Linked DNA regions of Nothobranchius furzeri. The protein of the gene in region 2 purifies or fractionates together with the protein of the main gene of each other region. This does not show direct contact. Links are inferred from orthologs where the notes say so. Each region holds a gene or a part of one and is shown on either strand. Other genes may lie near its edges.

Region 1 (4,741 bases), on a different chromosome or scaffold from region 2:
GCTTCTGGGATGCGTCAATTACTGCAGGTAAGATAGGGCTATACAGGAAATCAAACACGGTTTCGGTGTAAAACCCCCAGTAATTTTATAAATGAAAAGTATTTCAGCGATGTCATTTCATAAATATGAAGCTTACGTGTGACCCAACGGCTTATTTCCTCCCTGCATCGTTCGAGACGTACAACGGTGTGTTTTTCATGGCTTTAATCCTGGCAGTGGAGAGGAACATCATATGACATCAAACAGCGATATAAAACATGATTTGTTGTTGCTGGTTGGTTTCTGGTTAACCGGCTATTAACCGCTGAGGGGCGTCAATAACCAGTTAAAGAAATTTTGGAGAATGTGCATCCCCAGGTGTGAGCAAGCGGGGTCAGCTCTGGATTGGATGGGGCATTTCCAGGACTACGTTTGAGGCCATTAAAATTGTTAATTTTTTGACAAAACATTTAATTGATCGGTTGCCAGTATTCGAAGAGCATTTCAAGCAATAAGGCAAAAAGTATTACAGAAAACAATCTCGGATGTATTCATTAAAGGAAAACATATTTTATCTAGTTTTTCTTAGCTAATGTTTATCAAAGGTTAACATTTTCATTCCAAGTGACCTTTGTTCAAATCACGCAGCTCCATAATTGTCCACAAGGTCATCGGTTTGCCCTTACCTTCAGCACCCCCTGTTCAAGAGCAAATGCTTACTCAAAGCTGTTTTCTTCAAAGATTTGTCCATGCATCTATCAGACACTGTAAACAAAAATGTTTCAGAGCCAACTAGTACAACTTGCTGCTCAATAGACCGCTTCCTGACAGAAACTCCTTCCAAAAGGGACACGAATATTTACAATTTGTGACGGACGATCAGCTAAACCACAACTGAAAGCGGAGAGACAGCAACTCACTCACATCCCTAAACACGTTCTGATTTGAATCAGTTTGGTGAGACATTTTTAAGTGAGTAGATAACAATCAAAGCATCTTCATTAGATCAAATTCGAAGACAATGGGAGGGCTGCAAGGACTAGTTGACATAATATAGGATACAAGAATTCATTGATACAGATTTTCCTTGTTAAGTGTTTCATATCAGAGCCTTCTAAAATCATGTGATTGTGCCCGATTTCCGATCATGTCATCGGATTGGAGCATAGTTTACATGGTGTTATCCTGTTTAGTTTGTGTGTTGTTTCATGCCGACTGCACCGTGCATAACTGGGTTATTATTGTTATTGTTAATGCTAATTAGTGCCTGTTAGTCTTCCTATTCAATGATAAATGAAGGAGTTTATGAGAATACACGCTACTGGATGTTATTTATAACACATTGTATTAGGTTACTTTGCTCCTTTCAGCCCTTCAACACCAACTAACCAAAAATTGAATTCAGATTGTACAAAGCAGAGCCTTGTTCCTACAGCAGCACCACTACCCTGCAGCTGTAAGGCTGCCCATACACTAGACTTAGAGTGAATTCATGTTACATTGACACTTTTTATTGTTGATGTTTGTACTGTAACTGTTATAACAAAGCCTCAACAAATGCTAATTAATCACAATTCTAGTTATTGGTCAGGGTTTGGCGTTATGATAAACAACATTTTGTGCCCTATAGTAGATAATAAACATCCTTTACCCACAGTATAGTTAGCTCTAGCTTCATTGGTTTGACTGCTAGTTAATTAATTTTGCTGTAAAAAAGTTATATGTCTCAAGGTGACAATCACAGACCTGAGCAGTCTGAGACTTGAACCAGAGCCCAGAACAGGAGGTAGGATTGCAATAATCATTCACCAATAAGAAAAAGATTTAAAATTTACCTCTCAGTCGACTATCATAATAATTATTAATTGCAGCCGTACTACTTACAGGGAGTTTTGCAAAGCATAATCTGAGCTTGAGTTATACTGCAACTGTTGTTTTTCTATTGTGCCATGTTTGTATAAGCCCCCCCCCCCCCCCCACACACACACACACACACACACACACACACACACACACACACACACACACACACACACGTCAAAACCGTGTTGTTGTGTTGAAGAGAGTTCTCAGCTGATCAACCTTGACAACGTTTTTAACAAAAACCAGAATGTCTGCTCTGTTCGCTTGTGTCAGCTCATGTAACACGACGCGTTTAGTTATAATAAATGTTAAAACCTTTAATGGGTTGAGAGGTATCCAGTGTTGTTGACGGAATACAAAGTTCGGTAAACACGAGCAACTAAACGATATAAAAGAACAGAAATGCCCCATAGATAGCGGTCATGTATAAACTAATGGTCATAACACACAACTGATATATGAATATAATCTGGGTAAACATGAACTGCTAACTTTACTTCCCTACCGTGTTTGCTAGCATTAGGAGATGTATGAAACAATCTGTTAACAGGCTGAAGTGGTTTTGCACAAACATCTCATGAAACGAAATCTAAAAGATATTTAATAACTACTTATAACAACACAGTGACGTTACTCTGCACCAAAAGCTAACGCTTGCTAGCTAGAAGCTAACTCAGCTACGATGTTAAAATGGCTATTTTGGTTATATTTGTTTTGTTTTTTGTTTACCTTTATGCTAGCTGACTGTTCCTTTAGCTGCATGTGCAGTGGCCGAGGAGCCAGGTGAGTGTGTTTGCACAGATACGACTTGAAAGCGTATTTGTTTTTGTTACATAGCCGTGCAGTTTGTGTGAGCTTAGCCAAGTTAACGATAACCCTGCGCTAGTCTGCTAGCCGGAGGCGACACAACACCGGCTCGCGGAGTAACTTAGTTAGCAGCTCGGCTAATTGTCCGCCATCACGCAGAGCTAGTCAGTCAAACAGTTGGGTTGAATATGGAGGACGTGTTTCACAAACCGTCTTAAACCTGCCGTAAGCTGGTATGTTAAGGCTTGGGACGGAGAAGCAGCCGTGTTTACCTTGCTCGCTCTTGTGCGCTCCTCATGTAGTCAACGGTGCAGGAACGTTCGGGTCCTCGGTTCCCCACAGGCCCGGCAGTCCGCTACTGTTTTACTGCCATCTCTACACCGACGCTTCCGATGAGCTCAACACAGCGACAGACGCGCCACCCCAAATCCTGCTGCTCTCCTAAACCTGCAGCTCTCTCACTCGAATGTCGCTGCTGCTCAATAGGCACTCATACATAATTCATGTTAATGCACATCTAGTTCTGTGTGTGCAGGTATCTGATTTTTCTCTTTGGTTTTTCATTTTCACATCCCCGAAACACAATTTTTACTGTTTTACTTTCCAAATGTTTTGACTTTATGTTGTTTGACCTCTCTGCAAGTCATTTTTCTGGAGGTAAAACAGATGTTGCAATAATTCTGATGGTTAGGCATCATCAGGGCCAGAACAAGATTAGAATATACTGACTCAATGGAAGATCCAGGATTTTGAGGGGTCATCAAGGGACCAAAATGTTTATAAATTCAGTCAAACGTTTTTTATAAAACACATGCATGACAACACAATGTGCTTCACATTGTTTAAATTAAAACCATACATACATAAAATCAAGTAAAATAGAATAAACAAGTAGACAGGCCCCTAGATGTCACAGTCTCTGAGGTGAGAGGCTTCCTAAACTGCTCTTCTGACCTCTTGTTTACAGGTGGGTGGTCCTTCCCTGGTGAGGTTTTCCGGGCACGTCCAACTGGGAGGAGACCTAAAGGTAGACCCAGGACACGGTGGAGGGACTATGTCTCTCACCTGGCCAGGGAACGCCTTGGGATTCCCCCGGAGGAGCTGGCCCAAGTGGCTGGGGAGAGGGAAGTCATGGGCCTCTCGCCTTGGGCTACTGCCCCCGCGACCCGACTCCGGATAAGCAGATGAAAATGGATGGATGGATGGATACTAGTGTAGGAGTTCCTCTGCTCCAGGTGAGTGAGTACTGTGTGCAAGGTGAGGGATAGAGCATCCTCGGTGGAACGGTTTGAGCGGTAGGCAAGCTGATGTGGACCCAGTAGAGCAGGTAAACTGGATGTGATGAGTGGTTTGACTAACCATTCAAAACACTTCATGACTGTAGAGGTCAGTGCTACAGGACAGAAGTCATTTAGACAAGGCACAACAGACTTCTTAGCCACAGGAACGATGAAAGACGTCTTGAAGCAGGCTGGAACCTTAGACTGACAGAGAGAGATGTTAAAAAATCTGTCAGGACATCCACCAGCTTTTGCTGTTCGGGCCATCTGCTTTACTTGGGTTAATCTCCGCCAAGATATTCCTGGTGTTAGCTGGGCTGATGACCTCTGGGGACTGACCAGGTGGAGGGGGACATCTACTCTCCCCTCCTGGTGCCTTCCCCCTTACTTCGAATCGGGCAAAAAACTTGTTGGGTTTGTCCGGGAGAGAAGCATCACTGTCCTCGATTCCCTGCCTGTTTTTTTTACTGTGTCATTTGTTGAATCCCCTTCCACATTTGCCTGGTGTTCCCTGTACTGCAGATGTTCTCCTGGATTTTATCAGCATGCCTTCTCTTGGTTGCAGTGGCGGCGCCAGGGGGGGCGCTAGAGCTACCCCTGGATTAGTCATTGCACCCCCATAGCACCCCCAAGTAAATAGATTTTTTTTTACAATTTAATTTTAATTTAACGTGTGGATGTGATAATATTTAACATACAAAACAAAAATAATCAGTAAATTATATAGATTAGAGCCCTGCACGGGCCTAAAATCTGAGCCCGTGTCCAGCCCGGCCTGAGGGCCGTCGGGCCAGGCTGACCCTCAGGCCTTG
Region 2 (4,970 bases):
ATGCGCTTAGCAGCATGCGGACATAACACCTGGTACAATCCCAGGTCCAGATTTGGTTATGCAAGCCGAGTCAGCCAGGCACCTTTACCGGGATATTGGCTTACAAGGAAATATTGATTCTGATGAAAGCAGAAACCCTTGTATGCCCGTCGTCTCAAAACAAATACAAACAACAAAAACGGGCACCTGACCTAAATGTTCATCGAGTGTGTGAGAGAAAGACCAAACTCACCATGAGGGAGTACTCCACTCTGATGATGCTGCAGTCCAGGATTGAGGGGGACACAGGTGGGATCTTCAGCATTTTGCCATTCCAGGTCTCCGTTTTGCCAGAGGACAAGGACTCCCCCCGCAGGTTGGCCACCAGTTGCTTGACCTCCTTCACCTTTCCTTTGGCATAGAAGGTCTGTGTCTGGTAGATGGCCGCCTTTGGCACCACCACGCGGGACGAGCAGTTCTCGATCTCGGCAAATATCTGGATAGACTCGCCTACACAAATATAAGACATAATGGAAGTTAATATTTTTCTCTAGTGATAGGAACCCTAATTATGAGTAATCAGTAACAAGTAGAGAATCCTGCAGAATGTGATCATCCCATTGGCTCATCTGGTAAACAGATGAGTAACAACCTTATCGTTTATTCACTTATCCTCACCTGGGGTGTATCCCTTCCTTTCAATTTTGGCACTTAGGGAAATTGGACCTGAGGTGCAGAACCAACAGCAAAGCGTCTTGTCTGCTGTGCCGGCCTGAGGCGACTGAAAAAGTAGAGAAAAAACATCTTATAAACATTTTTTCTTAGTTTACAAACATAAAAGCTATGCATTTCATCATTCCTATGACTTCTTACCAGCAATAACGGAGTGTTGATGTCAATGTGCTCAAAGACTGTAAATTCCTTCTTAGTCTTCATGGGCAGGAGCCATGGCCTGTGGAGCTCTGCCTTCACCCAGTAGCGCACACTGCCATGTTTTCCTTCAAAAGAGGTAGCCAGAGGTCTGCAGGTGACGGTAAAAGAAGGGCAGAAAGGAGAAAAACGGTCAAGTTCTCAAATCTAAATAACTTTTTCTCTGATTCTAGTTTCGTATTGGGACACCTACGTCTGTGGAAGCTCGAGGCTGAATGCATACTCATGCCTTCCTGCATGGATTGTAGTGAGTCCTTCCTCCGAGTTGTCATCGTCTGAAAAACAAGGAGGACAATATTCCAAACACATGTATACCATACCTGGACAAAATGCTCTACGAAGGCATCTGTAAGTCATATCAAAGAACACAGGGTGGGGGAGACAAAAAGAGAATAAACGGGTTTTACAATTGATCTTGTCTGTTAGAAATTAAGTGTATTGAGATTTTAAAAAACAGCAGAGTAAAATTTGGAGAAATCAGAAACTGAACGTGAGTGATGCTAATGCACAAGTAATTTTATGGGGCAAAGCGAAGCGATGCCTTCTCACTTATTTTGGGGGGGGAATTATGAATTTTTTATTTAATATTGCTCATTTTACATGAAAAGGTAAATATGTGGCGGATAAGGACGTGTGCGCAGCCCTTGCCAGCTCAGCACACCCTCCCCCTAGCAGAAGCCGTGTGGTAAACAAGTGCGGAGCTGTCAGTCAAGAGACAGACTCCAGCAGGAGAAGACCGGACTAAACCGGTGTGAGCAGCTTCCCTCGGCATTACGTATTCACTCCGCGACGCCGCAGTCACAACAACCACATACATAAATGCGTCTGACAAGCTCTGTGGTCCCGTAAGACTAAAGGAGCTGCTACCCACTTATTTAAACACGTGTTCCCAACGCTAATAAATATTAAATCGTTCAGCGACAATATCACCACGTCTCGGACATGTTAGCTTAACATAATCCATGCTAACAGACCTAACCGAATACATGCAAATAAAAGCTTTACTGCATTCACTGGTATAAGAAAAAAAAAACTCTTGATTTTAATTAAAAATTAAGAGCAAAGAAATCTCAAATGTCCAGCACATCCTGGTTGCAACTCACAATTCCTTAAAATTTACAGTAAAACCACCAATTTTCGTGTCCTGCAGGTGTTTTACATTGATTAAAAAGTTGCAGTTTTTTCTGCCACTCTGCAGGGGAATGATGTCATTGGCCACACACTAGCATCTTAACCAATCACACACGAGCCAGGGTGCGCTCTGGCTTTCCCCCCGCCCCCTCGCAAACCAGTTTTCGGAACAGGATTGAACCGCTTTGAACAATAGGTGGAAACTTCATCGTTGTTTAGCGATGAAATTTCTAAACAAAGCTTCATAGCTATAAAATACAGAATCAACTCAATTCCAATATGTATTTAAATGAGATAAATCCTCCCTATGCGCCTCAAATGCCATGAAAAACACAAGATACGTGAGCAGCTGTCATTCATTCTGACCACAAAAACAAGCAACGATGGAGATTTTAAAAGACAACTAAATACCCACCGAACATCTCGTCTGAAATAAGGCAATAAAGTGACAGGTCTTTATTTAGTCTTTAATCGAACCAATTATCCTGTTATTGAGCCCTGCAACTCTATATCTTTCAGCGAACCTGATCCCCAACCAGGGGAGCATCACAATTTCTACAAAACTTCTTACCTCTTTCATGTCCAATTAAAATATCTTTGTAGTTCAGGTATTCCACTTCTTCTGTGTAGTTCTGGGTGTAGGCAGTGTTGGATCCAGCGTTTCTTGACTCAGTCCAACGAACTTTTGCTATTCCTTTTGCGTGGATTTTGAGAGATTTCACCCGGATTTCTCCGGTGACTTCGACGATCACCCTCCCTGAGACGGAGTCCCCGCTGGAGAAGACGGGGACGTTGCTGTCATTAAAACAGTCGTAGCTCACTATGAAGCTCTTTACCTTTCCTAGCACCATGGCGGAAAGAGATCTTCTCGAGCTCTAAAAAAAGGAGTTAATGAAAAAATAATCTCATAAGAAAAACGGGGTTGGAGACACTGATCAGTATCTCTGCCCTGCAAGAAGCAGCGGGCACGATCAGTGGCTTCTTTGTGAGCAGTTCATTGAGCTTTGTGAAGGCTGATAACCAGCAATGGATGCTGTTATCATCTGCCTGTCTCCTTGATGGTCTCAGTCACAGACAAGGAAACCCCCGGAGCTCAGCTCACTTTAAACCAGAAGCTGTGTGAAAAACAACCTTCTGCGCCTGCGCGTGGCTGCACAGCCCCCACCTTCTCGCCTTCTGGAACAAGGCAGGCAGAGCAGTGTGAGGCAAAGCTCACATTCATCCAGCCGCCCTGCAAGTATGGTAAAAGCACCTGAAACACCGCATAAAGAAATATTTGCAATAGTCCTGGGTGAGGCTTTTGGGGCGAATTGTAACATTAAAAATATCAATTATCAATATAATAATAAGATTTAGTCCAGTCTGTACATAGTCCACCTCAATATTTGAGTAAGTATTTTTTAAAATCACACAAAACGTGTGAATTTTGTTTTTATTTTGGAGCCACAGCCTGCAGGCTTATTGTGAACACTTTACACAACGCTTTTACATAATCAGAGCAATGTCATTGTAAAATCCAAAGAGCTGCATTTTGCATGATGCACACGGCATAGGGCTGTTCAGAGTAGATGTATAGAACATGCATATTAATTATAAAACTAAAAACAGATCATCTGTGGTTGTAACTCATATACCTGACCCATTTTGATTGTTATTTAACTGATTCTGATCCGTGTATGTTGAGAAGACTCTTTCTCATTGTGTTGAGCTCCCAGTTTTCAGAAAAACAACTCGTGACTCAAAACGCCACCTAGTGGCAACCAATGTTCCCACTATGGGCTGCAGCAGAATCACCTGTTGATCTGCAACAATACCAATGTTCTTTACTTTTAATCAGCCAGTATGGGGATGCTGCCCGAAAGGTAATCAGGCATTATTGTCCTGACGGGGATTTTTTATTTTATAATTTAGTATTAACAAATGCCATTTACCTCCAATTAAATCCAATAAACTTCATAGATTCCCTGACACACCATATGTAATGCCATTTAGTGCATTCATTAATGTTTTTTTCCCATATTACATAAAACACATCTGGAAAGCTGTTTACTTTATCTATACAAAGGACACATTGACATGCACCTTAAACGTTAGGATGTCAATAGATACAGGTGGGATGACTGCAGTGCCAGCTCAGCAAAATATTAAAAAAATAAATAAAAAAACAAACGTTTAATGCCTAGTTGCATGCTGCCCTCTAGTGTCCACTTTGCCGCTGAATTAAAAAGATGGGACACTCTTCTAGCAATGTTTATAATTTATTAATTCGTGGTACTATACTTTTATGCATGAATTGGTTAATGAACGATGGATTTTGTTTGAGTTTTATTTTATTTCAGTTCCTTCTAAATATCAGTTTCATTCTTTGTCCCCATGGACACGAAACAACCCCCCCACCCCCCCTTTTTTTATAGTATACTTTTATTTTGAAATCATGACCAGGAAGTAAATACAATACCTCCCACCGACAGCGCGGTAGTAAAAATAAATTATTTAAAAAAGAAAAAAGACAACACGTTAGGGTAAAACCCGTGAAAAGCCTCAGTTTGGGAATTTTTTTCTTTACTTTTAGATATCTGTTGGAGTTCCGAGGAAAACATGAGCATCTTTATGTTGGTGTTTATTTTCGTCCTCCAAATTTTTTGTGACAGCCAAAATATTTCCAGACCAAATATCGTTTTGGTGATGAGTGACGCATTGGCAAGTAGAATCACATCTTTATTTCTTGACGTATCCTCCAGTGACTGAATCAGAGTGGCAGGATCTAAAATTGAGATGGTTAACAGTGTGTGTGTGTGTGTGTGTGTGTGTGTGTGTGTGTGTGTGTGTGTGTGTGTGTGTGTGTGTGTGTGAAGGATGGCCGATTGTCCGTTGATCCTGGCAGTAGACTTGTACATCTTCCATACATTAACTACCTCAGGGAGCTCGGC

The links.
Region 1: the proteins of arrdc3a (region 2) and NEDD4-like E3 ubiquitin-protein ligase WWP1 purify together in Homo sapiens (affinity purification with mass spectrometry; 4 studies listed by BioGRID and IntAct, counting the BioPlex papers as one, with this or other methods). This does not show direct contact. The link is inferred for Nothobranchius furzeri from reciprocal best matches to the Homo sapiens genes ARRDC3 and WWP1.

Annotation. Positions count from the first base shown.
Region 1 is NC_091747.1:36,690,155-36,694,895, forward strand, and holds the start of NEDD4-like E3 ubiquitin-protein ligase WWP1, read right to left. Parts: upstream 3,094-4,741; 5' UTR 2,922-3,093; intron 2,661-2,921; exon of another isoform or gene 2,572-2,660; intron 1-2,571. UniProt on the Homo sapiens protein: E3 ubiquitin-protein ligase which accepts ubiquitin from an E2 ubiquitin-conjugating enzyme in the form of a thioester and then directly transfers the ubiquitin to targeted substrates.
Region 2 is NC_091757.1:41,570,958-41,575,927, forward strand, and holds the start of arrdc3a (arrestin domain-containing protein 3a), read right to left. Parts: upstream 3,103-4,970; 5' UTR 2,892-3,102; coding exon 2,612-2,891; intron 1,256-2,611; exon of another isoform or gene 1,228-1,255; coding exon of another isoform or gene 1,185-1,227; coding exon 1,103-1,184; intron 1,001-1,102; coding exon 853-1,000; intron 761-852; coding exon 658-760; intron 490-657; coding exon 233-489; intron 1-232. Other genes in the region: arsk (arylsulfatase K), read left to right, coding at 4,639-4,740, 4,896-4,970. UniProt on the Homo sapiens protein: Adapter protein that plays a role in regulating cell-surface expression of adrenergic receptors and probably also other G protein-coupled receptors.